Callithrix jacchus: one gene and its partners. The protein of the gene in region 1 interacts with the protein of each later gene in a pairwise test. Links are inferred from orthologs where the notes say so. Each region holds a gene or a part of one and is shown in the gene's direction. Other genes may lie near its edges.

Region 1 (4,735 bases):
GCAAGATCCTTCATTTTTACTCCAAGTCTTAATGTGCATTTCACAGTTTGAGATGATCACTCAAAATTACAATTTTAGTCCAAAGACACTGGAGGCTGCTGTAGTATAGGTTGTGTATATGGAAAAGGTTGGAATGCTTGAATTAATTTATAATGAAGATCCTTTTTGAGTGTTCATATGCCAAAGCAAGGACAAACATTCAAAATGTCTCTATTACAATTTTTTCTTTCTTTCTTTCTTTTTTGAGATGGAGTCTCACTCTGTCACCCAGGCTGGAGTGCAGTGGTGCAATCTTGGCTCACCACAACCTCCGCCTCCTGTTTCAAGTGATTCTCTTGCCTCCGCCTCCTGAGTAGCTGGGCCGACAGGCACATGCCACCATGCCCAGTTAATTTTTGTGTTTTAGTAGAGACAGGGTTTTGTCATGTTGGCCGGGGAGATCTCGAACTCCTGACTTCAGGTGATCTGCCCACCTCAGCCTCTCAAACTGCTGAGATAATAGGTGTGAGCCATCGCGCCTGCCTCTATTATAACTTTTTATCACAACTTCTTTGACTTTTAAAAAATTATTTATTTATTTATTTTGAGTTGGAGTATCGCTCTTGTCACCCAAGCTGGAGTGCAATGGCACCATCTCGGCTCACTACAACATTGGTCTCCTGAGTTCAACTGATTCTTCTGCTTCAGCCTCCTGTGTAGCTGGGATTACCGGCACACTCAGCTAATTTTGTATTTTTAGCAGAGATGGGGTTTCACCATGTTGGTCAGGCTGGTCTCGAACTCCTGACCTCAGATGATCCACTCACTTTGGCTTTCCGAGTGCTGGGATTAACAGACGTGAGCCATCGCATCCAGCTGCCATTTTTTTTTTTTTTTTTGAGGCAGGGTCTTGCTTGTCACCCAAGCTGGAGTGCAGTGGCATGATGATAGCTCTCTGCGGCCTTGACTTCCTCGACTCAAGTGTTCCTCCTGCCTCAGCCTTCTGTGTAGCTGAGATTATAGGCACATGCCACTATGCCAGGCTAATTTTTAATTTTTTCTTAGAGACAAGGATTTCACTATGTTGCCCAGCCTGCTCTTGAATTCCTGGCCTCAAGCGATCCTCCTGCCTTGGCCTTCCAAAGTGTTGGGATTACAGGCATAAGCCACTGTGCCTGGCTTATAACTTCTTTAAATGGCTGTGATTACATAGTTTAGTCCTTTTAAGATTGGGCAGTGGACGAATGGCAAATTGCATTTTTAAAAGAGGAGGGATTTTGAAGAAAACAGGAAAGATTGGGGCATTTGTCTGTAAAGGACTGTGGACTCACTTAAGTTTAGTGGTCATTCTTTCTTTTTTTTTTTCTTTCACTCTAAAATCTGTAACTAATGTTACAGAAAAATATCTCAAAAAAATAAAGAAAGATGGTCATTCTTACCATCTTTGTGGTTTTTCCTGCCTGCATGGGATGCACATTTTCTGTCTCAGGTGGGATTGATCAGTCCCTGGGAGGAATGTGTCTTATTTTTTAATTGTGTTGAGGAGAGCTGACTATATATAGTAGTTTTGTGAAAGAACAACATGAACCCACGGCAGAACTAAAGTCTTTTTTATTTTTAAAAAAATTTAGGTGGTTTCATGGACACCTCTCTGGGAAAGAAGCAGAGAAATTATTAACTGAAAAAGGAAAGCATGGTAGCTTTCTTGTACGAGAGAGCCAGAGCCACCCTGGAGATTTTGTTCTCTCTGTGCGCACTGGTGATGACAAAGGGGAGAGCAATGATGGCAAGTCTAAAGTGACCCACGTCATGATTCGCTGTCAGGTACATCTCAGTTGAACTATGGGTCTGGCAAGATGTTGTCTTTGGGTGATTTTTCTGCTGTAAGAAGACAGACACCATTACATTCAAAGTCAAATTGTCTTTTTAAAAACACTTCTTTCTTTCTTTATTTTTTTGAGACAGGGTCTTGCTCTGTCACCTAGAGATGGGGTTTCACCCCACTGGGTATGGTGACCCAAATCTTTGGGTGATTTTTCTGCTGGAAGAGGACAGACCCCATTACACTTAAAGTCAGATTTTCTTTCTTTCTTTTCCTTCCTTCCTTCCTTCTTTCCTTTTTTCTTTTCTTTCTTTCTCTCTCTATCTCTCATTCATTCATTCATTATTTATTGACTTATTCATTTGAGACTGGGTCTTCCTCTGTCACCCGGGCTGAAGTGCAGTGATATGGTCATGGCTAACTGCAGCCTCAACCTCCCTGGGCTCAGTTGATCTTCCTTCAGCTTCTTGAGTAGCTGGGGCTACAGGTGTGTGTCACCATGCTCAGCTAGTGTTTGTATTTTTTGTAGAGATGGTGTTTTCACCATATTGCCCAGGGTGGTCTTGAACTAGGGCTCAATAGGCCTGCTCACTTCAACCTCCCGAAGTGTTAGGATTACAGGTGCGAGCTACTGTGCCTGGTCCAAAGTCAGATTTTCTTTGCTCACTTAGTCAAGGTTGTCTATGCTTTTATTATACTTTAGTATATTAGTATAGTTACTATATTAGCATATTTACTATATTATTATACTTATGGTACTAGTATATTGAGTATATTTATGCTTTTAGAATATTTATATACACACACACCACATTTTTATTATTTATCTTTTGTTTTAAGGTGGAGTCTAACTCTGTTGCCCAGGCTGAAGTGCACACTGTAACCTCTGCCTCTTGGGCCCAGGCAATCCTTGTGCCTCAGCCTCCTGAGTAGCTGGGATTACAGGTGCCCACCACTGTGCCTGGCTAATTTTTGTGTTTTTAGTGGAGATGGGGTTTCACCATGTTGGCCAGGCTGTTCTCGAACTCCTGACCTCAAGTGATCTGCCCTCCTTGGCCTCCCAAAGTGCTGGCATTACAGGCGTGAGCCACTGCACCCAGCCTATTGTCTATTTTTTGATGGACATTTAAGTTGTCTCCATATGCTTGCTATTGTGAATAATGCTGCAGTGAACATGAGAGTGCTTGAAAACACTAATGTAACATAAGGGTAACAAATAATAAACGTCATCTGTTTAACTTGAAAGGAACTGAAATACGATGTTGGTGGAGGAGAACGGTTTGATTCTTTGACAGATCTTGTGGAACATTACAAGAAGAATCCTATGGTGGAAACATTGGGTACAGTACTACAACTCAAGCAGGTGAATGGATTGGAAAGCTCAAGCTTTCTCCTTAAAAACTTAAACAAAATCCTAATAGATAATTTTGCAAACATACAGAGGTAGAGCAGTGTCATCAGCTTCCATGTACCCATCACAGCTTCAACTTATGATCAACTGTTTTTTTTTTTTTTTTTTTTGCCACGGAGTCTCACTCTGTCACCCAGTCTGGAATGTGCAGTGATACAGTCTTGGCTTACTGCAACCTCTGCTTCCTGGGTTCAAGTGATTCTCCTGCCTCAGTCTCCTGAGTAGCTGGGCCTACGGGCACCCGCCACCATGCCTGGCTAACTTTTTCATTTTTAATAGAAATTGGGTTTCACCATGTTGGCCAGACTGCTCTTGAATTCCTGACCTCGGGTGATCTACCCACCTTGGCCTCCCAAAGTGCTGGGATTACAGGTGTGAGCCACTGCACCCGGCCCTAAATCTTTCTTATTATGACTTCACTCATCGGCTGCCTCCTGTAGTACTTAGAAACATATTCCAAATTTATATCATTCCCATATTTATCTGTAAGAGACTTTACAGAGGTTTTTTTGTTTGTTTGTTTGTTTGTTTTGAGATGGAGTTTTGCTCTGTTACCCAGGCTGGAGTACAGTGGTGGGTTCTCGGCTCACTGCCTCCGTGTCCCGGATTCAAGAGATTTTTCTTGCTTCAGCTTCCTGAGTAGCTGGGATTATAGGCGATACCACCACACCCAGTCAATTTTTGTATTTTTAGAAGAGACGGGGTTTCATCATGTTAGCCAGGCTGGTCTTGAGCTCCTGACCTCAAGTGATCTGCCCGCCTTAGTCTCCCAAAGTGCTGGGATTACAAGGCATGAGCCACTGTGCCTGGCCTACGGCAATACAGAGTTTTAAAGCAAGTTTTCATTATCGATCTACTTCTGGTTACCTTAAGGTAACCTCACTTGTTCACTTTGGCATTGTTGCTATTTCATAGTTCACCTTTGTGATAGTGGCAAATGATATAATATCTCTATAAATAATGTTGTGGTCTATTCATAAAGAAAAATAGGCTTAAATTTATATCAGCAGAGTGAGTAAAGTAAGTGTACGTGGATACTGAAGAAAGATAAATTTCCTGGCAGAACAGAAAAGAAACTGAAACTTTGAAAACTTTTATTGTGAATTATATGGTCTGCGAACCCTCTGTTCTTGCCTTTATGAATATCAACATAGAAGTTTTTTTTTTGCATTAACACTATTTTCTGTAAAATTTTCTTTTTTTTACGTCAACCGCTGTACTTGATCAGCCCCTTAACACGACTCGTATAAACGCTGCTGAAATAGAAAGCAGAGTTCGAGAACTAAGCAAATTAGCTGAGACCACAGATAAAGTCAAGCAAGGCTTTTGGGAAGAATTTGAGGTAAGTTATTAAAACTGTTTTTATGTGAGTTGTTATGTCCTATTTTTAGTGGAGGAGAAGTTGGTCTTATGTTTGGAATTGGACCTGAGAGACTTGAAACTGACGTTCTTTTTTAAATTCGGCCATTGATTGACGTGGAACAAGTTGCTGAGAGGGCTTCTTCGAAATAGAAGAGCATTGT
Region 2 (5,352 bases), on another chromosome or scaffold:
TCGGCCTTCCAAAGTGCTGGGATTACAGGCTTGAGCCACCACACCCGGCCTATCAAAAGATATCTAAAAGATTTCTGGGGGAAGATAGGGCATACATCTGCCTGACTTGCATCACAAACCTCAGCTGCAGCCAAACCATGCAGATTTCTCCGACTCTGCAATCCCTGGAACTTGGCACCATGACTCAGATGTGAATGAAGTCAGAATGGCTTTATTTTGGTTGGGAGTCACCACCTCCTGATTGATTTGGCAGACGTTAAGTACTCTGTCTTACCGGGATGTAAGGTATCTGAAGCCAGAAGTTAAAATGGCCATCATTCTGGTAGTGGCCCTTCATATGTGACTTAAGGACCCCTAAATTGGAAGGTTAAGGGAGCTCTGATCCCAGTCTAACAGTTCTGGCTTTACTTCCCATCCAGCAGTACACTGGATACTGAAGAAAGTTAGTGAAATGTTAGATCCAGGGGACTGACCACTAAAGCTCCCAGGGTATCTAGAAGAACTAAGTACGTGGTAGGAGATTGATTCGCTTTTCCAAACTGAAGAGGGTGAACTTCCCCAACCCAACCAAGATCTGTTGTTCTAACTGCTTGAAACAACTAAGTGCCACAGACAGAAAAAAATAAAACATCTTTAGTCTAAGATTGTGTGGGGCAGTGCAAGATGCTGCTTATCCAATTCACCTGTCCACAAAGCACGGTTCCCCGTTGAAAAAACTTCTCAGAGAAGTTAGGGAGGACCTGCCTTTGTTTTTTTTTTTTTTTTGAGACAGTCTCACTGTGTCGCCCAGACAGGAGTACAGTGGTACTATCCTGGCTCACTGCAACCTCCGCCTCTCGGGTTTAAGCGATTCTCCTGCCTCAGCCTCCTGAGCAGCTGGAACTACAGGCACGCCCAGCTGATTTTTGTATTTTTAGTAAAGATAGGGTTTCACTATGTTGACCAGGCTGGTCTCGAACTCCTGACCTCAGGTGATCCACCCACCTTGGTCTCCCAAAGTGTTAGGATTACAGGCGTGAGCCACCGCACCCGGCCAGACCTGCCTTTTAATGCAGCTTGGAGAGGCAGTTTGTGATGAGAAAAGGGCTCATACAAAAGATTTTTTTTCTACCCGCTGAAGTGCTGGGGTTGTGCGCTTCCACGAACATCTGGGAACCCTCACTGCGCAATAAGAGGCTATCATTGTATTTACAAACAGAGGTCTCATAGCCTGTGTCAATGAGCGGGAACGCTGGGGAATTTTGACCCCAATTTCTTGTTGTTCTACGCTTGACCTTGCCTTTCAATTCACTATGACTAGTTTTGCTTCTTCCGTTCTACGAATCATGCGAATTTTCTCTACTAAACTGTGTTTTCCCAGAGGCAATGTGGGAGGGAGTCAGCTGGACTTTGTTTCCCCGCAACGAGAGGGCCCCAGGTTGATCCCATTGAGGCACGCCCTCATTTTGAATAGCAAATGAGCGGGTCCCCTCTTCCCCCACACACCTGAATTAGAAACTTGGCTCGGCTTTGTAAGAGCCCTGGCCCTTAGGCTGTCCGTAAAATAGGAACGACTCTGAAGACAAGCCTGTAAGCCACGAGTGCAAAGGCTCCCGGCGCGTAGTAGGTCCGTCTCCTCCTGGCGAGGGGCGCCAGAGTTAAGGAGCTTCTTGCTGGGAAGGGGTCCCTCCTTTCAGCCGGAACCTGACCCGCGGAAATCTGAAACTCCGGGAATAGATCGGAAACGCGAGCAGCCCGCCGATCCCTTCCCCATCGACATTCGGCGAAAAATCGATCGAGGGCGCGCCCTCCCTTCCCCTCACACCCGCTAGCGCCAGGGGCGCGGCCGCCTCCCCAGCCTCCGCGCCCGCGGCTTGAGGCCTCAGGAGAAAGCGAGACTCCCGGGCGCGCCGGCGGCGGCGGCAACTGTGTCCTCGCGGGTCCCCAGCCCCGCGTCCGCGTGCGCGGCCGCCTCGGGGGCGCGGCGGGAGCGGGCGTGGCGAGCGCGCCGGCCTTCCTACTGCAGCCGCCCGCCCCCAGCCGGGCTGCGAGTGCGGACTGAGCGCGCTCGGGGCGGGGAAGCGGGCGCGCGCCGCGCCGCCTCGTCCCCGCCAGGCCGCCGGCCCCGCCCCTGCCCTCCCGCGAGCTGCGCACCGCCGGCCGCTGCCCCAGCTGCCCGAGCCCGCGCCCTCGTCCGCACGACCAGGCGGCGGGACCAGGCCAGCAGCATGAGCGGTGGCGGCGACGTGGTGTGCACCGGCTGGCTGAGGAAATCGCCCCCCGAGAAGAAGTTGAGGCGCTATGTGAGTGCGGGAGCGGCCGCAGAGGGGCGGGCGGCCGGGCGGGGGGCGCCCCGGGGCCTGCGGAGGGGCGGGGGGCTCCCGGAGGGACGGCAGGCTGGGGAGCTGGGGCCCGGGGCCGCGGAGGCCGGGGCGAGAAGCGGCCCGGGGCTTGTGGGGCACCTGCACACCTGTCACAGGTGCGCCGCCGAGGGGCGGGGCGGGCGGCAGGTTGAGGCTGCGGCTCCTGCTCAGCCTGGCGGGCGCGGCGGCGCTTCCCCAGCTGGCCTGCCCGTAAACTAAATATAGTACCGAAGTTTGTATTGGTGGCTTCTGGAGACCGAGAGAGTTGACTCCCGGGGCTGGGCACCGCTGCAGCCGCTAGCAGCTTCAGCCCGCAGGGTCGGGGAGTGGGCGGGAAAGGGGGGCGTAGGCTTTGGGGGCGCGCGGACGGCCCTACAAAGGGCGAGCGCCTCACGCCCTCTCCTTCCCTTTCTCCTCCCGCCCCTCCCAGCCTCCTGCCTCCGTTCGTTCGCGGCTGCATCACGGGCAGCGTCAGCGGCATGTGCAGCTCTTGTATTAAGTGACTCATTTGTTTGTCCCCCTTCTGTCCCTTTATTCGGTTCGTCTCTCACAGGCGCCTCCCTCGACCCCGGTGTGACACTGCAGTTTAGTCCCAGTGGCTGGCCCGGGCTTGGGACCGGGCAGCTCCTGAGTGTCTGGGTTCAGGAGAGATCGAGACTCTCCGCGGCCAGGTGTTGCCAACGGACAATGATTACTGGCATCGCTGGCACAGCCTCTTCCCTCTAGGTGGGGAACTGGCAGCCTAGGGGAGGTAGCACGGCGTGGCGCCGAGCGGTGGAGTTCTGGCTCTTTTTTAACCCTCTCCCTAAAGGATGCCTTCCTTGGTGAGGTCAAACTACACGATGGTGCCAGTTACTGAGGTTTGGCCGAAATGGTCCTGGGGTAGTCGCGCGAGTTTGGAAATGGGGATAAGGTTTCTGGAAGGCTTCAAGGTCTCTCATCTGCTCCCTCTCCACTTCCCATGAAATGCCCTTGTTTAACAGGCTGTGGGGCCGGACTCTGGGATCACTCCCACAGCCTGGAAGGGAGCCGTTGCCTCCAGCTGCAGTGCATCAAGGGAGCTCGGAATAGACCCTGCCCTCTGTCAGCTGCACCAGTGTCTGTCCACGGGGGGAGAGGCAGAAGCCTACCAGAATTTCCTGTCTTGGCCCCCAGATCAGAATCAAGGGACTTGTGGCCTCTGGACTGAGGAAGTGACTTTCTGTTTTTCAAAGGAAGTGTTGTTGTTGCAGAGTGCAAGTGTGTGTGTCAATGAAATTAGGCGATTACGTAGATTTTTGCTGGGAAAAAAAAAATCTAAGGATTTAGCACATGACTTTTAAAAGTGGATGTGGATTTATAGGAGGGATGAAGCAGTAAATTGTTTATCTCAGTTTGAAAGCTCATTTTTAGGGGTGTCTATGTAGCCAAAGTATAATTGTTAAGAAATTAACTTTTTTCCTCTTAAGGGTTGTATCAGTTCATTAGCAAAGTTGAATATTTTAATTAGAGTTAAGGAACAGTCGTTTACTATTAACAATTTTATAAATATTTTAGAAACTTTGTCCCAAAGAGCTTCCAAAAATTACCTATACAAATAGATGCCATATCAGCTAGTGGCATAGTGTCCACAGCAAAAAATATGACCCTTAATTTTCAAATTTGAACACTAAAGAAACTTGAAACTTGTTTTTGAAACAATTTGCAAACAGTGTGACATTGTATCCACATTTGATTTATCACTCCTTGAACTCTCACCCAGACTCTTTATGACCCATTTCTTGGGTGTTTTTGTTCCCAAACAACTTTAGTTCAAAATAACCACCTTCGAAGGCGTTTGGGTCAAGAACCTTTTTACCCGCTTGAACGAATCTAGAGTCATATGATGACCTCAGCCTCTCCCATCTTTCATGCACCTCCAGCCCATCAGGTGTCAGAATTTAACAGCTTTAAGTCACAGCTTTTTGTAGGCTTGGTTGTTTAATGTTCACTTACATGACTGGAAGCCTCTGCCCTGTGGAAATTGTTTCACCCCAGTTGAAACTGTGCTGATATGTGTAACCCTAAGCTTCTGGGGAACAGTAGGCCTTTACATCTACTTTTCTTTTTGGGTATTGAGAATTTTTGCATCCTGTTGTAAGTTAAAACTCTGCTAGTTTGCTTATTTCAGTGGAGGCCCAGGTTCATTAGAACCAAACTTGGAAAGTATTTTCAGCTCCACTGCTGTATATTTACCCACAGTAGCTGATTTTTCTGGTATACATCACAGGCATGTTATATTGTAGATTAAGAAATCCTGATTGTAAGAATGCATCAAGAATATGAGATAAGGTGAAAAAATGATTTATGAACTAGGTTATAACTATTTAAAACGATTGTTTTAAAATCTGATTTGACTTGAAGGCTGGGCGCAATGGCTCATGCTTGTAATCCCAGGACTTTGGGAGGCCAAGACGGGTGGATCACTGGAGGTCAGAAGTTTGAGACCAGCCTGGCCAATGTGGTGAAACCCCATCTCTACCATAAATACAAAAATTAGCTGGGCATGGTGAAGGGCACGTGTAGTCCCAGCTACTCAGGAGGCTGAGACAGGAGAATGGCTTGAACCTGGAAGTTGGAGGTTTGAGCCAAGATTGCACCACTGCACTTCAGCCTGGGTGACAGAATGAGACTCCTTTTCAAAGAAAAACAAAAAACTTATATTTGAGGGGTAAAGGGGGACATGTAGAGGGGAAAAACATCTTAGGAAAAGCAAATGCAAATGTTTGAGCAATTAGTTTTTAGGGATTTTTTTTCATCAGCCTTTTCTAGTTAATTGTAAGTATAAAAGATCTAGCTTCTGTTTGCTGAGAGCCCCAAAGAAATTACAAAAAAATGACTGGAAAATGCTGAGTATTGCCCCTGTGGCCTCCTGATACAGTTGCAGTGGGAGGCTGGCAGAAGTAACAACCCTCCTGTCTGCCTCAGTGTATTTGTGTGTGTAGGCACATGCACTCGAATGCATGAACAAGTACATATATATAAATTTTAA
Region 3 (5,465 bases), on another chromosome or scaffold:
TGGGAGGCTGAGGTGCATGGATCATGAGACTGAGACCATCCTGGCTAATATGGTGAAACCCTGTCTCTATTAAAAACACAAAAAATTAGCCGGGTGTGGTGGCACATGACTGTAGTCCCAGCTACTTGAGAGGCTGAGGCAAGAGAAGCTCTTGAACCCAGGAGGTAGAGGTTGCATGACCTGAGATTGCACTACTGCACTCCAGCCTGGGCAAGAGAGCAAGACTCAAAAAAAAGAAAAAAGGCTTTTTAGTGGATTAACTTATAAAGTAGATTGATTTTACTTTTGTCAGACCCTGAATCTAGTCCAACATCCAAAACCTGTGTACTTACCTTCATTTAGTACTTCCTCATTTATAGTTTTTTTTCCCCTTCTTAACCATTTTGTCTTAAGATTTACTGCTATTACTTGTGGCTTTAAAGAGAAAAGCCATTACATGTGTGGCTTACACAAAGTTCGTGCTATATTGGTGATGTGGTGGGGTAATTAATAAATCCCCATCTAGGTGATTCTATTAGATCAGGGTTTGGTCCTAGAATCACCGAAGGTTTGTATCCCAGCTTTGCTTATAAGCAGTGTGACCTTGATTAAGTGAGGACTTCTTTTATGCCAATGGGAATAACAGTATCCACTTTTTTGGGGGGGGATGAAGTCTCACTGTGTCTCACCCAGGCTGAAGTGCAGTGGTGTGATCTCAGCTCACTGCAGCCTCCACCTCCCAGTTCAAGCAACTTTCCCGTCTCAGCCTCCTGAGTAGCTGGCCCTACAGGCATGTGCCACCACACCCAGCTAATTTCATATTTTTAGTAGAGATGGGGTTTCACCATGTTGGCCAGGCTGGTCTCAAACTCCTGACCTCAGGTGATCCACCTGCTATGGCCTCCCAAAGTGCTGAGATTCAAATATTCAAATGTTATCTCAAACAGCTTTTCCTCCTACAGACAAAGGTGAAGACTCAGGAGCTCCCGGCCTCAGGGGGCACAGCATAGTTAGAAAATCTAGGTGATAAGTGGCAGTAGCAGTGGCCCATACCAGGGACTTGCACACGTGAGTTCTGAAGGCCTGGAATGCATTTGAAGATGAGTTCATGAACAGACAGAAAGGATTCCACTAATAGCTGAGAAACACAAAGGTCACGTGTTTGTATGGGCCTCCAGGTGGTCGGTAAGGTTGGGGTCAGCATTAGTTTCTTCTTCTGTAAAATGGGGGCAGTTAAGAATTCCTCATCCCTTAATTATTCTCAACAGCAAGAAACCTTCAAAGGTAGAGAATAAAGAGAAATCTGTTTTCATAGAAAGTCCTTGTAATGGGTGGAGCAAGGTGCAGCTACCAGGTGCAGAAGACTGTCTACAGCAAGAAGTACTTCTCAACTTGTGACCTTGGGCCTGTGCTGGTCTAGATAAACCAGCTGGCGCCGGTGTCGCATGTGAGTTTCCTAGGGAGTAGTCACCTCCAAAGGGCCGTGTCGTCTACGGAAGAGTCACTACTCTGAGGTCTAGTCCATGGCCACATTCTCACTGCTGGGAGAAACAACAGGGTCAAGTCTAACAGTCCTTTCCCAGATGAAAAACATCCCTAACGGTGACATAAGCACACGTCCCTCGAGTAAGGAGCCATAAACGGATCTTCCCGCGTCTAAGCGTACTTTATAGAGCGACGCGCCAGAGGCCGTCGCCTGCAATTGCGCATCCGGTCACGGAGAGCATTATGGGATTGGTAGTCCAGACTGAGGCGCAGATGCGGGTCGCTGAAGCGATAGAACTACATTTCCCAGCAAGGCCCACGGAGCAGGGCACACAAACCGTGTACGTAAGTGACCAGACTTCCGGACGAGCCAGGGGCGGGACCTCAGCGGAGGCCTGAGCGAGGCGTCGGGATGCAGCGCCCCGGGCCCTTCAGCACCCTCTACGGGCGGGTCTTGGCCCCGCTGCCCGGGAGGGCCGGGGGCGCGGTCTCAGGCGGAGGAGGGAACAGCTGGGACCTCCCGGGTTCCCACGTGCGGCTGCCGGGGCGTGCACAGTCCGGGACCCGCGGCGGTGCTGGCAACACAAGCACCAGCTGCGGGGACTCTAACAGCGTCCGCCCGGCCCCCTCAACGATGTCCAAGGCCGAGGAGGCCAAGAAGCTGGCGGGTCGCGCGGCTGTGGAGAACCACGTGAGGGTGAGCTCCTCGGGGCGTGGGGCACATGTTCTCGGCGTGTTGGGCTCCTGTTGCGCCTTCTGGGTACTGCCGGGGCGCGCCTAGCTCCTGGCAGGGCGGGTGCTAAGTGAGAGGGTAGAGGGTGTGCACTTTACCGGAGTTTAGACCCCTCTTCCCTGCTCCTTAAAGACCTTTTAGAAGTAGAATCGGTTAGGGGCGAATCTTCTTATACTTGAGCTTTCTAAAGATTCCTTGTCCAGCTGGAGCAGTTTTCACAGGGGAGCCTGGTGGCGTCTGATGCTTGTAGTGGGGGCTAGAGGCACTTGCCTTGTGGCCTCCGTATCAACAAAAGGAATATGGTGGGCTTTGGGGCTGCGGAGCGGTTTTCATTTCTCTTTACGGACCCGGAAGCCAGCGGAGAGTTGGTTTGCTAGTACTTTGAAATTTGAGTTGAAGGAGGCTCTTGGCTTGGTGCGCACCGGCCCCTGACTGTACTCCTGGAGGGAAGGGAAGACCCGGGGCTTCATACCTTTTTCTTTCCATAGGGCGGGGTGGACTAAGTCTGGAGGATGCTGTTTTGTTTTTGTTTTTTTTTTAAAGCCGGGCTGCGGAGATGTTTAGCTGTTATTTATTCAGGCCGTGGCCCCTACTTGTTTGTTAAATGGTGGATATGGTGCTATTAGTGGAGTTTTTATAATCCAAGTGGTTTTGCTGTCACCAATCAAGTTAGTTATGTTAATTATAATAAGGAAACCTAGTGGAGTATGTCTGCCCTGTGGTGTAGTTTCCTTGGTCTTACTGTCTTTTTATCTCCCATTTCTACTTATTAGAAAGTGGTATTAGATTTCCCCTTTCTTTTCTGATGATAGTTCTTTACATCTGTTAATGCTTTGCTCTACATAATTAATTTGCTTAGATGATGTTGTATGAGCTTCACCACAGCCTGTTTGAGTGGGAGTGGCCAGTGTGGTAACCTGTGGCTCAGCCAGTTCTGTAGAAGGGATGTACCAGTGTGCCCTTCTACCGTTTCCACTCCTGCCCTGTTCTGGTGTAGCTTGTTGCAAGTCTGGTTGGCAATAGGATTTTCTATGGGGATTAACAGAGATAATGTAAAATGTATTAATTTGACCCTACCTTTGGGATTCAGTGCCTCAGTTGTAAAGTTGAGACAATTAGCTGAAAATTCAAAATATCTGCATAAAGTGAATAGCTAACGGACAAATGAAATCCACATGAGAATACAATTAGAAAAGCCCAATATCCAAGTTTTCCTGTTAACGAATTTACATTAATATTTGGTGGCACATCTCCCTGACACTTGTATTATAGTTATGTATTTGGTTAAATAAAAATCTGCAAGCCCTAACCTTAGGCTAGAGCCCCAAAACACTGGATTCTGACCGCATCATTTCATGAAGTTAGCAGGTGATTTTGGGGAGATCTACATTGGCCTTTCGGGGGCACCTGTTAAAATCATGTATGCCTTTCAGGGTTTGGCTTAAAGGCCATTTCCTCCTTTCAGTTTTGCCTTAGCATTCTAAGGAGAGGGAGATTTCTTCTCTGTGATTCTGTAGCACTTCATGCCACTTGCATGCTTTATGTTGTATTTTATGTTCTCATCATCTGTGTGTTCATTTCTTCCAGCGCCTTAAAGGGTAAGCTCCTGGAGGGTAGTTAACCTTCATTTAGCATTGGTCACAGTGGGGACTGCCCAGTAAATGTTTGTTCAGTTGTGTGCAGTGTGGACACAAATATGAAAGTATTGGGGTTATTGGAGGCTCTTTGTATAGAATTTCTGGGGAGTAGCACTTCCTGTTCCCTAGTCCATTGTTGTTCCAATATGGTAACAACTTCCATGTCTGGGTGGATGGAAGACTGAGAGTTCTCAGGTGAATCGTTTGTATAGCCACCCTGGACCCAGCTCTGTCTGTTTCTGGGGGTGTAGCCATCTAGGATGGGTCGCTTTGCAGATCTACTTTCTTCTGAACATCTGTAGCCTCATCCCTTTGTTCTCTTTGGAGCTTGGGCTTTGTTTTTTGACTGGCTTGGTTGAGGAAGCTGATGGACAATGATTCTAGTTGGTTAGCAGTAGTATGTATTTCCAAAGTTACTCCATTCGACAAGCTGAGTGAAGTTCTGATGTTGCACATACATGTGGTTTAATATTGCCCATTAGAATGGGGCCACTCCTCCAGCAGGGCCTGGTTGGTAGTCTTCTGCTGTTGGGCTGCATCATAGGCAGTCTTTGGTCACCTCTGGTTGGCTTTGGCAAGGGCACTGATTCCTAGGCCAGTCATTTGATTCCAAGGCCTCAGCGATTACGTGGTTGAAGAGCTTTAGGCTTGGCAGGCCCTTGCAATTACTGGTCTCTTCCAAAAGGCAAAGAAGGAGCCTTGTACAGAGCTTGTCTGATTCATCCAAGTTCGTCTCTCTGCTACCTGCCTTCTGGGGACTGTGAGTGACATGAATGTATGGATAAGCTTGGTAACCAGGAGTTTGGTGATTGAATTACTGTAAAGCTAGACTTCCTAGCTTCAGGTCAAGTGTGAAGGTCAGGTTAAGTTTAACTAGTGTGATATTTTAAACACACACACACAATGTTTTTACCCATGGCTTCTGGTTCATAACACCCATAGCCCTTGCTGCAATCTTTTGTTATATATGGGGTGCTTTAGGCCTCAGAAGAAAATCTCCCTCTCACACCTTCTCCTGTCCTCCTTTCACTTGCTCCTTTCTCTCCCCAGTGCTTTTCTGTCTTGGAGCTGACTGTAAAGAAATTCTGTGACCTGTGTTGTCTTATCGTAGGTCATAAGATCCCCATCTCAGAAGGGTTCCTGTTCCATACCCTGGAGGAAGGAATGCTGTACAGATAGGTGAAGAATCTGAACAGACAGCACTTACAGGGTTTCCCCAGTCAATCTGTACCCTTTTTTGTCCAATCACATTTCTAGGCCCTTGCAATTCCTGGTCTTTTCCAAAAGCCAATCATGCTTATTCGACAAATTTTCCAAAAGGCTCAAGAGTACAGGGTTTGGAAGCTTCTGGAGAGCAGAACATGTGAAGGTCCCTGAAGGATGGTGTGCCTGGAGAGCGTGGAAGCTCTGTGCCCCTTCCTACATGTCTTGCCCTATGAATTTCTTAATCTGTATCCTTCATCATAGCCTTTATAATAAACTGGTAAATGTGTTTCCCTGAGTTGTGAGCCACTCTAGCAAGTTAATTAAACCCAGAGAAGGGGTTGTGGAAACTCCAACTTGAAGCTGGAAAGTCAGAAGTTCTGGAGGTCTGGACTTGGATTTGATGGGAAGGAGGAGGCAATCTTGGG
Region 4 (4,735 bases), on another chromosome or scaffold:
GTATATAAAAACTAGTTCAGAAGTAGGAAAATGCACTTCAGGTTTAAAGACACTGATTGTTTTAGTCCATTGGAGCTTCTGTCACAAAAAACAGCATAGCCTGGGTGGCTTATAAACAATAGAAATGTTTCACAGTTCCGAAGTCCCAGAGTGCAAAATGAAGGTGCTGGTGGGTTTGGTGTCTGGAGAGGGCCCACTCCCTGGCTCATAGATGGCTGTCTTTTCATTGTCATTGCATGGTGGTGGGGATGCCAGAGCACTCTTCAGGGCCTCTCATAGAAGGGCCCAGATTCCATTCATGAGGGCTTCACCCCCATGACCCAGTCACCTCCCAAAGGCCACATCTCCTAATCCCATCATCTTAGGGGTTAAGATTTCGACCTGTGAATTTTGGGGTGGGACACAGGCGTTCAGTCCACAGCACTGAAACATTTTTTTTATAATAGCCATTATTTTAGTGGGTAAGGTACTTTTAAATACTCACAAGCTAGCACAAAATGAGTTTAAATGGCAGAGAGGAGGTGAGGATAAAATGCTGGCAGGGAGAACCTTTTGCTGTGCATTCCTGCTGCTTCCTCCCCTCCTACCCTATTTCCATGATCCTGTGCATGGCCACAGTCATGTCACTGGGTAACGTGATGATACAAATAAATTTGGCACAGGCTTCTGATCCTGGGTGTGTGTTGGTGTAGCAGAGGCTTAATGCAACACAATAAGTTTTTCATCTTAAAATGTGGAAGTAACCCTGACCAGCAGCTCACTGTAGCGTTTGGAAAACAGGAATCTCTGCTTATTGTGACAGATTCTCAAGAAACCTGTTTCCTTTCCGCAAAGATGGAAACCAGGCACTGTACAAAGGAGTCCATTTACTACCTTTTTCCCCCGTCCTTACACACGGAGAAGAACTTGGTCCTCTGCGTCTGCTTTTTCTGTGACACCTATCATAAGAATGCATCTTGGAATGAGCTGTTTGTTTTTGAAGTCTTTATTTTCGGAAACCCTAAAGTGGCTGAGCATGAAGTGGTTATGTTTCCTTTGAAAACCCTAGTATTAGTCATAACCGCTTTCCAAAGTATCATCCCTTAAAGATGTTCAGAACCTTGTGTGTATTGTATAGCCTGGAGCACCCTCAAGCTGCCCACTCTTTTCAAGTTTTAAAAATGGCTTAGGTGAACATGTTGCTTAAGTGATATCCAGTGAATGTGTGTCCCGCGCTTTGGAAAAGCAGTCAACATTGATACTTTTTTGTAAACCCAATAAAGACATGATTTCCGTGGTCCTAGGATACATTTGACCCCTATGCACACATCAGCTCTGGATTTGGGTTCGGGGGTCAGCATAACTAAAGCTTGATCAGATAACAGTGCTCTGCCTATAATCAGCATTCATTCTGCTAGTGACAGAGTCCTTTGCTTGAAATGAGGCTTCCATGCGTTTGCAGTTTTAGACTGCTTTTCAGAGTCATGCCTCGGTCAGCCTACTGAAGGATGTGTGTGGAAATGGTGGACTCCATGTTCTTTGCATTGCCTCACCCCCATCCCTCTTACACACAGCTGGGACATGGGCACACATACTCCTTCACATGCACAGGCTCTCCAGCCCCCTTTCCACTCCCCTTTTTCCTTTCGGCTTCGTGACATTTTTATCAGAGATTCGAAATCTCAGATGAAATCCAAGTCAGTCTACTTTACCAGTTGTCGAAACGGCTGGAGTTCAGCGCTGTGGAGAACAGCAGAGATAATAAATCAGAAATACCAGGTGTTTGAATTGGGTGTTGATTTTCACGTCTCTTCTAACCCTGCTTGTGCGCCCGAAGCCTTTTTCCATTTACAACTTAGTAATGTTTGTTTTCGCAGAGATTACGTGGGGAAATAGATCATAAAGGGAAATGCTGGCGTTTGAAGTGGTGCTATTTCAGAGTGAGGCTCACTTTTCCCTTTGTATTCCATTGTTCATTGTTATTTTTTATCCCGGTCAAACTTGCCGTTTCCTGGTGGTGACTTGCACAGAGTACCTGATAGCCGGAATCTTCAGTTCATTTCATTTTCTGGAATGTTCTTTGTTCCCCCTTGCAGTTCCTTCCATTCCCCTGGATGTGCTCTCGGCGTCCAACTCCTCTTCTCAGTTAATTGTTAAGTGGAACCCGCCCTCCCTGCCCAACGGCAACCTGAGCTACTACATCGTGCGCTGGCAGCAGCAGCCTCAGGACGGCTACCTTTACCGGCACAATTACTGCTCCAAAGGTAGGTGCAGCAGCGGCCTGGACCGAGGGCATGACTCTTCCTTCACAGGGTTTGAATGTACCTGATCCCTAATATTACATGTATCAGGTAACATCGTAGTCCTCTGTTGGAGACCAGCTATCTTTTTTTTTTTTTTTTTGAGACAGAGCCTCTGTTTCCCAGGCTGGAGTGCAGTGGCATGATCTCAGCTCACTGCAACCTCTGCCTCCTGGGTTCAAGCAATTCTCATTCCTTGGCCTTCGGAGTAGCTGGGATTACAGATGCACTACCATGCCCGGCTAATTTTTGTATTTTTAGTAGGGACAGGGTTTTCACCATGTTGTCCAGGCTGGTTTCGAACTCCTGACCTAAAGTGATCCACCCGCCTTGGCCTCCCAAGGTGCTGGGATTACAGGCATGAGCCACTGTGCCCAGCCAAGACTGGCTGTATTCTTGATGAAAGGTGCTGAGCGCTATGATTTTTCCTCACAGGCATGTGTAACAGCTTTCATCCCACTCTTGTTTTGGCTTTTCTTTTCCGAGAAGACAAAATCCCCATCAGGAAGTACGCTGGCGGCTCCATTGACGTTGAGGAGGTCACAGAGAACCCCAAGACTGAGGTGTGTGGCACAGAGAAAGGGCCTTGCTGTGCCTGCCCCAAAACCGAAGCCGAGAAGCAGGCGGAGAAGGAGGAGGCCGAGTACCGCAAGGTCTTTGAGAATTTCCTGCACAACTCCATCTTCGTGCCCAGGTACTGAGCTCACGTGAAATTTCAGTTGGCAGAAGCTGCTGCTCAGGCGGGTTCTGCTGCCTTTCTCCCCACCAGGTAGTGTGTAAGTCAGCAGTGGCGGGGCACGGCATGATAGCCATTGAGAGGGAGCCACAAAAGATGACAGGTTCAGGGAAGTGAGTCCCTGAGAAAATCGGTCAGCCCTGAAGGGAACGGGGACCAGGGCTCGGTTGCTGGGGCCACCCATGTGACAGGTGCAGCTGCCTCAGCCCCAACCCCCACAGAGAGCAGGTGGGCACCCTGTGGTAGAGGCAGAGAAGGGAAAACTCAGAGCCCTGAAATCCGCTGCCTGGTGAGAGGAAAAGCCGGGATTTGGGCCCATCTCTCCCCTTCCCAGTTCTCTCTGCCGCCTCTCTCAAGCCTGACAGAGGAGGAGTGAGGCAAGAGGGAAAATAATCAGAGTCTGTGTTGGAAGGGGCCTGACTTCAAAACATAGCCAGGTGCCACAGGCATCCTTTCCAAGTAGGTTTGGGAAGCAGTGTAGGGGGACAGCCTGTGGTGGCTGTTTATTCCGTGGCTACTCTGCCCTTCAGAGCAATGCGGCCTCTGCCCCAAGGACTCTGTTCCTCTGCTGTGGTCTTGGTTTCTGTGGAGTGGGGACAGAAGCAGAGGAAAGCAAGTGTTCATAGCAGGGCTGTTCATAGGAGCCAGATCTGGAAACGACCCAGCGCACGTCAGCAGATGGGCGGCTCAGCAAAATGGGCTCTAAGCATACAGTGGAATATTATTCAGCCACAAAAAGGGAGGAAATTTGGACCCATGTTACAGCATGGATGAACCTTGAAGACACCATGCCAAATGAAACAAGGCCCAGACACAAAAGGACAAATAGTGTCCGATTTTATGTTGTGTGAAACATATGTAAGGGGCAAATGTATGGTGACAGAAAGCAGATTCGAGTTTACCATGGAATGGGAGTGGGGAGGGGAGTGGGAATTATTCCATAATGGATAGATTTCTATTTGAGGTGATGACAAGCTTTTTGGAAATAGGTAATGATGATAGTTGTACCATACTGTGAATGGAATTAATGCCACTGAATTGTACCCTTAAAATGATTAAAATGGCAAAATTTTATCTTACATATATATGTATTTTTTTAAGATGGAGTTTCACTCTGTCACCCAGGCTAGAGTGCAGTGGCTTGATCTTGGCTCACTGCAACCTTTACCTCCCGGGTTCAAGCAGTTCTCTGCCTCAGCCTCCCAATTATCTGGGATTACAAGCATGCGCCACCACTCCCAGCTAATTTTTGTATTTTCAGTAGAGATGGGGTTTCACCATCTTAGCTAGGCTGGTCTTGAACTCCTGACCTCGTGATCCACCGCACCCGGCCACCTTATGTAGATTTTATTTTGTTTTAACACAATAAAAAATACTGAACAATTTTTTTTCCTTTCAAAAAAGGATTAGCCCAGTAGTGCCTGGGATAGGAGATGGAAGCACAGTGGGGTCCCACGGCCCCTCTTCCTGAAAGATAATAGTGCAGATTTCGGAACTGACCTCATGCCTGAAAACTAGGCTGAGGAGTTGGATTTAGATCAGCATGGTACCCATGAGCCACCCACCAACCACGGTGTCCACGACGCCCCGCTGCCAGCACCCCACCCAGCACGTTCCCTTCCCCTCACTGCCCGACCCTGAGAGGAGCCTGTAGTGGCTGTTTAATCCGCAGTGACTCTGCTCTTACAGGCTTCCTTAGGCTATAACAACAAATGGTTTT
Region 5 (4,735 bases), on another chromosome or scaffold:
TAAAGCCAGACAGCTAAATCCTGACTGCTGCTTTCTAATTTTATTAATTTGGACTTAATACTTAAATCTCTGTCTGACTCATCATCTTCTTCTGGGAATAATAACAATACCTATATTGTAGGGTTGTTGCAGTGATCAACTGAGTTATCACAGGTAAATCACCTAGAACATCAGTGCTAAAATAAGCTGATAAAATTGTTATTATAAATCCTGCCTATTGGCTGTGGCTCACACCTGTAATCCTAGCACTTCGGGAAGCCAAGGCAGGCAGATTGCCTGATCTCAGAAGTTTGAGACCAGCCTGGGCAACATGGTGAAACCTTGTTTCTACTAAAAATAAAAAAACAAAAAATTGACTGGGTGTGATGGCACATGGCCTGTAGTCCCAGCTACTCAGAGGCTAAGGCATGATAATTTCTTGAACCTGGGAGGCAGAGGTTGCAGTGAGCCAAGATTGCGCTACTGCACTCCAGCCGGGGAGAGAGAGGGAGATACTCTCAAAAAAAGATAAAAAGAAATCCTTTTGCACAAGACAAAGACTATGCCCTTTTGGTTTACTCAACACAACCTGGTTTCTTGTTCTGATTTGGAAAAATTCTGGGAATTTGGATTTAGAGAACTTCAGTTCTGTTATCAGTTCAACCATGCACCTTTTTTTTGTTATTTTGTTAAATAAACATTCAGGGGTCTCACCTTCCTCACTCATCAAAAGTGATCTTTGAGCTCTCTTCCAATTCCTGTTCCTCTGATTCTATTGATAGTTCATCCTTAAGCACTTAATGAAAGTAGGCTTTTTATAAGGTAGAAAAGATTATCATGATAGTTCAGCTGGGATCTAAAAGTCACTGAAAGTGCAATTAGTGTTAGTGCGGCCTAAAAGTTGTTGAGCTTGTGAACTTATCATGAGCCTTCATAACAGCCCTCTGCTACTGTGTGGTTGTATTTTAAATAACTATTTTAGCCTCATAGGTAGGACTTTTGTAGAAGAGACTTACATAGAGATTAGAAAGTGCGTATTGAGGCCCAGTGACTTGAACTTTCTGTATTGATCTAAATATGAGTGGTATCTTTCTCTAAGGCCTTTAAAGCTCTTTCATGGTTGCCAGGTCTGTTGGAAAACAACCAGACAAAAAGCAGATTATAAATCAAGACGTTAAGAGTTGTATCTTATACCAAGGTGGGAGATGTTGATCAGTTGCTGAGTGATTGCCATATTAGCCTTGTGGAAAGGTATAAATCTTGGGAGGAAGATGTGTTATATGTAATTTATTATAAACAGTATACACTGATAATAACTTTTTATTGGTTATATACTTAGTTTTTTCTTTGATTATTCTATTGGGTATACAGTTTTTTCTTCGATTATTCTTTATTATGATTGCCTTTGAATTTAATTCTTTATAGATTTGTTCTGCCTTGTGTCTTACATAAACTTGTTTTTATTTTTTTCAGTTTCTTTATACTTAACGCTTAATATGTAATTAGCTAATGTTTCTTGGTTTTACCATGTATTATTCTAAATACCTCATATGGTTTACCCCCATTTAATCCTTTCAATAACCCTAACTTTGTAAGACTGAGGCTCAGAGAAGGTATTAGCACAGAGTCACTTAGCTAATAGGTGCATCCTATTGCAAAGGGAATATTCCTAACAACTGCATGCTATATTATATCTGATCTCATACTTTTACAAAAGTAATCCCTTTACTGCTTTGTACAAAAGTAGTCCCTTTACTGTTTTTTTTTTTGCCTCCTGCTTATTTTTAGGTTAAATTGATGGGAGAGAATGGGAACTAGGGACCTTCTTTCTAATAAATAGGTACGCTTTTACATGAAAGAGGCACCTTTGTATAAATCACAGTGGAACCAAAATTATTAAATGCCTCTTTAATGGCATTCAGTGTATTTTAGAAAAACATTTGTAAGTCATGTAAAGCCATAAAACACTAATAATTCTGTGTTTTTAATTTAAAAAATAGGCTGGTGATTTGAGCAAATCAAATGTAAATTCTTTTTGTGAGATAACCAGGGAAAAATTGAAGACAGGTTAGGTATTAGATGAGATTAAGGAATTACTACTGATATAGTTAGGTATGATAATGATATCTGATTATTTTTATTTAAATATTGCTGAGTTTACTGGGGAAAATAATGTATTTGTTTTAATAATACTCTGGTTGGGGAGGGTGGGAAGCAAGGATAGTAGGGAATAGATGAAACAAGAATGCCAAATATTGATAATTTTTGAAACCAGATGGTAGGGACATAAGGGCACATTATAGTTGTCTACTTTTGTATATGTTTGAACAGTTTTATAATAACTGTAGAATTTTTTTCAACAGTTGGAAAAAAGTAACTCTTAGGAACTTATTAATTTTTCTAAAAAGTGAAAAGAAGGGGGTTTCTAGGAAAAGATAGACTTAAAAGGTTTGTTTTACCCAACCCACAAAAAAAGTGGTACAACCATCTCTTTTCCTGGCTGCTTACTACCAATATAGAAGAATAAATCCATATTAAAAACAAACAATAGCTTTATTGTTTTATTTTTATTCAATGTATTGGCATTTATAAAATTTAACGTGAAAATTCACATTAAGGTTTTCTGATTTATTATAGAATTTCCATCTTGCTTCTGATAATAAAAAGGTCATTGAACTATATCTAATCTTAGTAGAGAAGATCTCTAAAAATTGTAGGGTTTATCCTAATTCCATATTATCATCAAAATAAAAAATGCCTCTTCAGCTATTCAATTGGTCTTTCATCTGAACTGTTTTTGACTTGAAATCCTAGGCTTTTGACCTTTATGAACAAAGATATGCTGCTGTGAAGATACATCAGCTTAATAAAAGCTGGAGAGATGAGAAGAAAGAAAACTACCACAAGTAAATACTAATGCTTTATGGTTTTTAAAAATGGAATATGTTTTGAATGATCATGGAGAGTTAATATACTGTCTTTCTGTAGACATGCCTGCAGAGAGTATAGAATACACAAAGAACTGGATCACCCCAGAATAGTTAAACTCTATGATTATTTCTCCTTGGATACAGATACGTAAGTGAATATTAAGGTTTAATTTTTAAGGAAAGATATGCTTGCTCTCTTTCCCCATCCCGTGTTGATGATATAAATACTATTTCCCCATTGTGATTCTGAATTCTTGGATAATACTTTTGTCTGACTTTTTTTCTCTTCTCTGTTGTAGGTTTTGTACAGTGTTAGAATACTGTGAAGGCAATGACTTGGATTTCTATCTGAAGCAACACAAGTTAATGTCAGAGAAGGAAGCTAGGTCTATTGTAATGCAGATTGTAAATGCACTAAGATATCTCAATGAGATCAAACCCCCTATTATACATTATGATCTTAAGCCAGGTAATTATGAAATTTGTCTAATATATTTTTAAGCTTGAGTATAGTTTTAAAAAGACATTCATTTAAGTTATCTGAAAACATGCTTTTTGGTTTCGTTTTTAAAACATCATAGACTACTAGTAAAATTAAAAATAAAGTTACTGTTTTTCATATATGCATCATTAAAAGAATCTTATATTTTATTCTTAGGAAACATCCTTTTGGTAGATGGAACAGCATGTGGTGAAATCAAAATCACTGATTTTGGTCTGTCTAAGATTATGGATGATGATAGCTATGGTGTAGATGGAATGGATCTAACTTCCCAGGGGGCAGGCACTTACTGGTAAGTGTGTTACTAAAAACATCAGAATATCTAGATTAGTGCCCAGTGTTTTTATGAGAATTAAGTCTTTTATTTCCATGTAGCCATTAAGATTTACTGTGGTGGCCAGGTACAGTGGCTCATGCTTATAATCCCAGCACTTTGGGAGGCCAAGGTGGGCAGATCAACAAGGTCAAGAGATTGAGACCAGCCTGGCCAACATGGTGAAACCCAGTCTCTACTAAAAATACAAAAATTAGCTGGGTATGGTGGCACTTGCCTATAGTTCCAACTACTTGGGAGGCTGAGGCAGGAGAATTGCTTGAACTCAGGAGGCGGAGGTTGCAGTGAGCCGAGATCACGCCACTGCGCTCCAGCCTGGCAACAAAGCGAGACTCCGTCTCAAAAAAAAAAAAAACGATTGGTGAAGGTACTGATACTAAGCTCCCAGTTGAGAGGGAGACTACTGTGGTCATTCCTCTTTTCTCATCTGTTCTTAACTGCAAATAACAGCATACTGGAGAGAGAATGACTTGGCATTAGGAAGTGACTTCAGTACCTGCCAGCCAAAAACTCCTAACAGGGAGAATTCATGGGTTTTCTTCTACAATGTTAGGGTGATGTTAATCATAAATATAAATACTTAGGTTAATATAATACTCTAACTATTGTAAGCAAAAACTAAGCATCAGGCCCTCTCTGGAGGTTATATGATTGCAGGGATTGGTCATTTTATTTTAGACGGGCTTGCTCTGTCACCCAGGCTGATGTGCAGTGTTGTGATCCTAGTTCACTGCAGCCTCAAACTCTTAGGCTCAAGCGATCCACCCACCTAAGCCTCTTGAGTAACTGAGGCCGCAGGCACATACCACTATGCCCAGCTAATTTTTGAACTTTTTATAGAGACAGGGGTTTTTTGTTGTTTCAGGGGTTGTTTTTTGGGTTTTTTTTTTTTTTTTTTTTTTTTTTTTTTTGAGATGAAGTTTTACTCTTTTTGTCCAAGCTGGAGTGCAGTGGTATGATCTCGGCTCACCCGCACGCACCACCATGCCT
Region 6 (5,331 bases), on another chromosome or scaffold:
GGCTCACTGGCTTCCCCCTGCCCATTAAGTTATCCTTAAAAACTCTGTTCCCCGAATGCTTGAGGAGACCAATGTGAGTAATAATAAATCTCCAGTCTCCCACACAGCTAGCTGTATGTGAATTACTCTTTCTCTATTGCAATTCCCCTGTCTTGATGGATCAGCTTTGTCTTGGCAGTGGGCAAGGTGAACCCCTTGTGTAGTTACACTGATAAAGGTGGTTTACGCGTTAAATAAAAATCTATTACATTAAAATACTGAATAAAGAGTATTTAAAGCACTCCACAAAGATTATTTTAAAAATACCTCTGTGTAAGAAGAATGCTAATATTGTGCCACGATATGTCAAGGTATAAAATAAAAATGAGTGCATTTCCTAGAGTGTTTATTTTACTTTAACAGTTTGTGGGCAGTATAATAATTCATTTAACTGGTAAGTAATTTAAACATTAAAAAAAATTCAAACACTGATTTTTTTTTTTAAGAGAGAGGAGTTTTTTTTTGTTTTTTTGTTTGTTTTTTTCAAAACACTTGCTTGAGATAGATCCCCAGGAATATTTTTAACACTTTTCTGTCATTAGGGAAACATCGATATGTCTGTATTGAGATATATATATATATACACACACACATACATATACATATAACATGTATATGTGTAAGACTACGAACAGTCCGAAATTTATACATTGGGCTGATAACTGTGGTTTTCAGGAAAAAAGAATGCAAAGTCTCCCTAACTCGTATAAGAAGGGAGTATAAGTGAGAAAGCATTTGGCACCGCCTCTCCCTTATCCCCTACTTGCTAATTACAATTTTTCAAATACAGTTACCAACTGCAAACTACCATAATCTTGGTTTATCTTCATAGCAAACTTCATTTAGAAATTTAGAAAATGGGGAGAGAGAGTAAACAAGGTTAAGAGAGTGGGTTCCCAGATAGAATCGGGTACAAATCAGGGCTCCAACAGGCACAGGTTTGCTGTGTAACCGCCTAGGTTACACAACAGGTGTAGGTTAACCACCAGCTGCCTTATCTTATGAAGTCCTTAGGAGGATTTAGTGAGCCACGCACCTGAAGTCCTTAGCTATAGCCAGACAGCAAGTATCCAAAGGTGTTAGTTATTGTTTTTGTTCATGGTTTTATCATTGTGCAAGGGTCGCATAGCTAAGTGGAATTTCAAATCCAAGGCCATCCTACTTCAAACTCCTTTGTGCTCCTAAGCTATGCAGTATAGTCACCTTGGAGAGCATGCGATTGTCCCCAAACTACCTCAGGGACTGCAGGTTATGGCCAGCCAGTCCTCTATCAGACCTCGTCCTTGCCAGATGCCTAGTGCCCCAGATTCCCTCAAATCTCAGGCCAGACAACTTCCCACCCGGTAAGACTCCCCCACCTTCACCCCTGACTCTCCAAAACTAGACTTGGTGTGGGTTCCCGGGAAGCTCTGTCTGCAGGGACAGTATTCCCCACGTCTGCGTCTGCTGTCGACTTCCCAGCTGAGTAGGCAAAACATTCATTCCTTTACAGAGCAATGTGTTCATGGATAAACTTGTCTCTAGCGCAGCTCTGTGTCAGAGCACAGAACATGGAGCCCAAGCACTGCCCTTCCCAGGGAGTCCCGGTTCTCGACTTCCCCAGGATGGAAGTTTGATTCTACCGTTGGCCCATTTCTTTGATAGAAAAACTGAGACTCAGCGAGGTGCCAAGGCTTTGATTAGGACTACCCTGGAAGCCACGGCTTTGTAAGGGGTAGACATTGGGACTGGAGTCAGAAACGCGTTCTGGCTTATCTCCTGACTTACTGAATGAACTTGAGCAGGTCCCTTTCGCCCGTGGGCCTCGGTTTCTTCATCTGCACAACGAGACGGAAAACTGGATTACGTGTAGCTAAGGCCCCCGGGTTCTCAGAGGAATGCTCACCCCTGCAGGGCCGACCGGCCCCGCGGCACTACAAGACCCAGCTTGCCTCGGGGGGCGGGGCTCAATGACTGACAGGGAGCTCTGCGAGTTGCCGCCCGGCAAGGGGCGCTCAGCGGCGCGTGCGCAGAAGGCGGCAGGCGGGTGGGCTGGCGGCGGTGGACTCGTTGGAGCCGCGGGCGGTCAGGTAGGGGGCGGGAAGGAGGGTTGGGGACCAGGGACCGCGGCCGGAGTCGTGGGCGGTGGCACAGTAGCGGGGCGGAGGGCCGTGCCGGCGAGCAGCGGCCGCGCCCGAATGGCAGAGTCTGTGGACCGGATCTGAGGGGCAGGACTGGGGTGGGGGTGGGGCTGCTAGGGGCAGGCTCGGGAGAGATTCATGGGGCTGAGGAGATCCGAGGAGATGCAGCTGGGGGAGGGGAGCGAGGTGCTCTGAAGAGATTTGCGTTTGAAGCATTTCGGGAGGTATGAGGTAATGTGGGGGCCGAGAGGAGAAATGGGGTGCAGCATGTGGGAGATGGGAGGGAATCAGGGCCCTGGAGGGACCTGGGTGCAGAATTTCAGAAATATGAAGGAACTGGGGACCCCCGATGAGATTTAAGGGAATCTGGGGGCGCTAGGCATCTGGCAAGGACAGGGTCTGAGATGATAGGAGCAAGGTCTAGGTCGATCCTCAGTGCTAGTGAGAGAGGGTTTTCGGAGTGGGATGAGCGTGAGATTGAGGGGATGGGGATGAGTTCTTGAGGGACTCTGTCTTGTTAGCAGAAAGAAGGGACCTGGCTGAACTGTGAAGCCAGCATGTGACATTCAGTGCGTAAGAGGAAGGAACAGGGTTTGAGAGCGGCACAGTGCCTGATGGAATGCAGGAGATGGGGGGCTCAGAATGAGGGAGAGCAGAAATCAAGTGTGGAATTGGGCCGTTGAACTGAGGTGCAGGGCTGAGTGCAGCAGAGATTTGGAAACAGGGATTAAAGGATCTATGTCCGAGGGATTTGGGGCATAGGAGTGAGGAATTGATGAGGGTTGCAGTATACAGCGCCAGAGATTGGAATTTGGTATTGTAAGAGGGTTGGGGACAGGGTTTGGAGAGGATTGAATCATAGGGTAGAGATGTCCTAACTGGGCTATAGAATCAAAAAACCCTGAGTCGGTTTGTGGACTGGTGTCTTGGACTGCTGAAGAGATTTTCCTTAAATCGCTGCATGGGAGACAGATGGAGTTCAGGGGACCCAAGGACCTAAAAGTAATGTATGATATAGATGAGTATATGAAGATGAGCAGAGTTCAGGTGTTGAGGAACGAAGTGATACATCTTCAGTTCAGAGATCCTGAAGGAGTGTGGTGATCCTTGTGAAGGGCAGAATCTTCTTCATTTATTAAACAAATATCCATTATCATGAGGCAGGTATGGTATTGCCACTAACTCCCCTCTGACACCCCCAGGCCACTGAAAATGGTGGGCTTTGGGGAAGAAGAAATGGAACTATTCAAGGTCATCTACCTAAGCCCCTTTTCCTTGTACCCACAAGCTGCGATAGCAGATAGAATGTGAGACCTCCAGGGGAATAAGTGGAATAATTAATCCTATCTAAGATCCATTACAGCTTGAAGGGGCGGTGCCTCTGTGAATGAGGTGTTTGGGCTCTGAGAGAGACAAAAATAAAAGGGAACCCTTATGTATTGAGCATTTAGTCCTGTGCCAGACTATAAAGAAGTGGTTCTTAACCAGGGGTGGTTTTGTCACCTTGGAGACATTAGGCAATGTCTGGAGATGTTTTTTGGTTGTCACAGTTAGGGTGGGGAATACTACTGGCTTCAAGTGGGTAGATGAAACATGTTAATGTTTTATGTTAATGTTAAACATTTGATAATGCATGGGATAAGCCCCTGCTCCCCAGTAAGGAATTATCCTGCCTAAAATGTCAGTACTGCCAAAGTTGAGGCACTCTGCCCTAGAGTCAGATATCCTGGGTTCAAGCCCTAGCTCTGTCTCTTCCTGACTTTGTGGCCTTGAATGAGTTACTTAACCACCCAGTGCCTTGACTCTTCACCTGTAAAATGGGGTTATGATAACGACCTATGTCACAGAATTGTGAGGATTTAGTGAAATAAATTAGCATGCCTAGGATCTGGCACATAGTATGTTCTCAAAATCTAGTAACTTTTAGTCTTATATCTACTTCTTTATTCAGTTTTCGTATCTTTCTAAGTAGGCTCTGCTGTTTTCAGTTTTACACGAGGGAACTAAGGCTTAGGAAGTGACTTGCCTAAGTTTCCATAGCTAGGAATGACACATAAGCTCATACCCAAATCTCTGTAGCTCTGTATATTCCCTTTTTCCTTGCTACTTCCTTTCTAAGGCCTGCTTAGTCTTATTTTCTCAGCCCATTCCCCTCTAATGAAAAAGAGGATTGCCCAGTGACTATCAAAGACGGGGTGGCGGGGTGGGGGGGTGGGGGGGCGGAGAAGGTAAATCTCTCTGATTAGGTAGGGAGGAGCCCTGGACTTTGTTCTTGGTTTGCTCTTAGACCAAGACCAGGGGCTAGATAAGGAGACGAGTTTGAGGTTACCAGGCAGAATGAGGTGCAACAGACTATGGGGTGAGGTATGGAGGCCGTTGGCTTGAGAAAACACCTCATAGCAGGGACTGAGGCTTAAGGCATTCATATTCTGAAGGAGAGTAATCACTGTTCTGTGTGATCTCTTTTGGGCTGCTTTTCCCTGGAACAAAATAATAGCATTGGCTCTATCATCTCCAGGACTAGCTACAGCGTTGCTGAAGCCAGTTCAGAAACAAAGCTAGACTGCATCTGACTGCTAAGGTTTAGCTGGAACATCCGCGCACATCCCTAAAAGAAAATATGTCATGGGAATTCAGTCAGCCCTGTCTAAACTCCTTACTCTGTTGCTAATTTCTTATGCTACTTGGACAAGTACTTGTCCTGTCACCCTCAATCTATTAAAAATGCACATGATGATCATTTATTGAGTGCTTATTATGTGTGTTATCTTAGTGAATTCAATCATCCTGCTAACATTCTGGGTTTTATTCCTTGTTTACAGATGAGAACGTACCCAGGGCTACAGAGCAAGTGGCTAGGGTTGGGATGCAAACCCAGTTCTGTCTTATTCCTATGTTACATTATAGTAGTTTTCTTAGAAGGCTTTTCCAGCCCTTCAGAACCCCTATGTTTATGTCTGGAGAGTAGTTGGAAGCCAGAAGTTTGTAAGGCCCTTAAAGTAGATCATTGTCTATGCACACTGATGTGTAACCTTTGTGACATTCCCTTCATCATGTCTTTCTGGTAAAACAATCAAATTTAGAAATCATTTCTAGGAGCCCTTACCAACATATCAGCCAAACTTTGTCTAAAGCCAGGAAACTATACAACATCCTTTAAGTTAGTGATTTT

The links.
Region 2: the proteins of PTPN11 (region 1) and GAB2 interact in binary tests that used the Homo sapiens proteins (3 or more experiments, as listed by UniProt). The link is inferred for Callithrix jacchus from reciprocal best matches to the Homo sapiens genes PTPN11 and GAB2.
Region 3: the proteins of PTPN11 (region 1) and RPIA interact in binary tests that used the Homo sapiens proteins (3 or more experiments, as listed by UniProt). The two-hybrid records come from large-scale screens. The link is inferred for Callithrix jacchus from reciprocal best matches to the Homo sapiens genes PTPN11 and RPIA.
Region 4: the proteins of PTPN11 (region 1) and IGF1R interact in binary tests that used the Homo sapiens proteins (3 or more experiments, as listed by UniProt). The link is inferred for Callithrix jacchus from reciprocal best matches to the Homo sapiens genes PTPN11 and IGF1R.
Region 5: the proteins of PTPN11 (region 1) and TLK1 interact in binary tests that used the Homo sapiens proteins (3 or more experiments, as listed by UniProt). The link is inferred for Callithrix jacchus from reciprocal best matches to the Homo sapiens genes PTPN11 and TLK1.
Region 6: the proteins of PTPN11 (region 1) and TRIM32 interact in binary tests that used the Homo sapiens proteins (3 or more experiments, as listed by UniProt). The link is inferred for Callithrix jacchus from reciprocal best matches to the Homo sapiens genes PTPN11 and TRIM32.

The regions. Positions count from the first base shown.
Region 1 is NC_133510.1:115,403,813-115,408,547, forward strand, and holds part of PTPN11 (tyrosine-protein phosphatase non-receptor type 11), read left to right. Parts: intron 1-1,610; coding exon 1,611-1,803; intron 1,804-3,047; coding exon 3,048-3,164; intron 3,165-4,440; coding exon 4,441-4,554; intron 4,555-4,735. UniProt on the Homo sapiens protein: Acts downstream of various receptor and cytoplasmic protein tyrosine kinases to participate in the signal transduction from the cell surface to the nucleus. Positively regulates MAPK signal transduction pathway. Dephosphorylates GAB1, ARHGAP35 and EGFR.
Region 2 is NC_133511.1:62,169,483-62,174,834, forward strand, and holds the start of GAB2 (GRB2-associated-binding protein 2), read left to right. Parts: upstream 1-2,157; 5' UTR 2,158-2,207; coding exon 2,208-2,282; intron 2,283-5,352. UniProt on the Homo sapiens protein: Adapter protein which acts downstream of several membrane receptors including cytokine, antigen, hormone, cell matrix and growth factor receptors to regulate multiple signaling pathways.
Region 3 is NC_133515.1:25,431,090-25,436,554, reverse strand, and holds the start of RPIA (ribose-5-phosphate isomerase), read left to right. Parts: upstream 1-1,836; 5' UTR 1,837-1,876; coding exon 1,877-2,161; intron 2,162-5,465. UniProt on the Homo sapiens protein: Catalyzes the reversible conversion of ribose-5-phosphate to ribulose 5-phosphate and participates in the first step of the non-oxidative branch of the pentose phosphate pathway.
Region 4 is NC_133507.1:11,000,745-11,005,479, forward strand, and holds part of IGF1R (insulin-like growth factor 1 receptor), read left to right. Parts: intron 1-2,075; coding exon 2,076-2,243; intron 2,244-2,768; coding exon 2,769-2,973; intron 2,974-4,735. UniProt on the Homo sapiens protein: Receptor tyrosine kinase which mediates actions of insulin-like growth factor 1 (IGF1). Binds IGF1 with high affinity and IGF2 and insulin (INS) with a lower affinity. The activated IGF1R is involved in cell growth and survival control.
Region 5 is NC_133507.1:58,524,899-58,529,633, forward strand, and holds part of TLK1 (serine/threonine-protein kinase tousled-like 1), read left to right. Parts: intron 1-2,793; coding exon 2,794-2,885; intron 2,886-2,967; coding exon 2,968-3,057; intron 3,058-3,208; coding exon 3,209-3,378; intron 3,379-3,567; coding exon 3,568-3,703; intron 3,704-4,735. UniProt on the Homo sapiens protein: Rapidly and transiently inhibited by phosphorylation following the generation of DNA double-stranded breaks during S-phase. This is cell cycle checkpoint and ATM-pathway dependent and appears to regulate processes involved in chromatin assembly.
Region 6 is NC_133502.1:165,022,641-165,027,971, forward strand, and holds the start of TRIM32 (E3 ubiquitin-protein ligase TRIM32), read left to right. Parts: upstream 1-2,038; 5' UTR 2,039-2,390; intron 2,391-5,331. UniProt on the Homo sapiens protein: E3 ubiquitin ligase that plays a role in various biological processes including neural stem cell differentiation, innate immunity, inflammatory resonse and autophagy.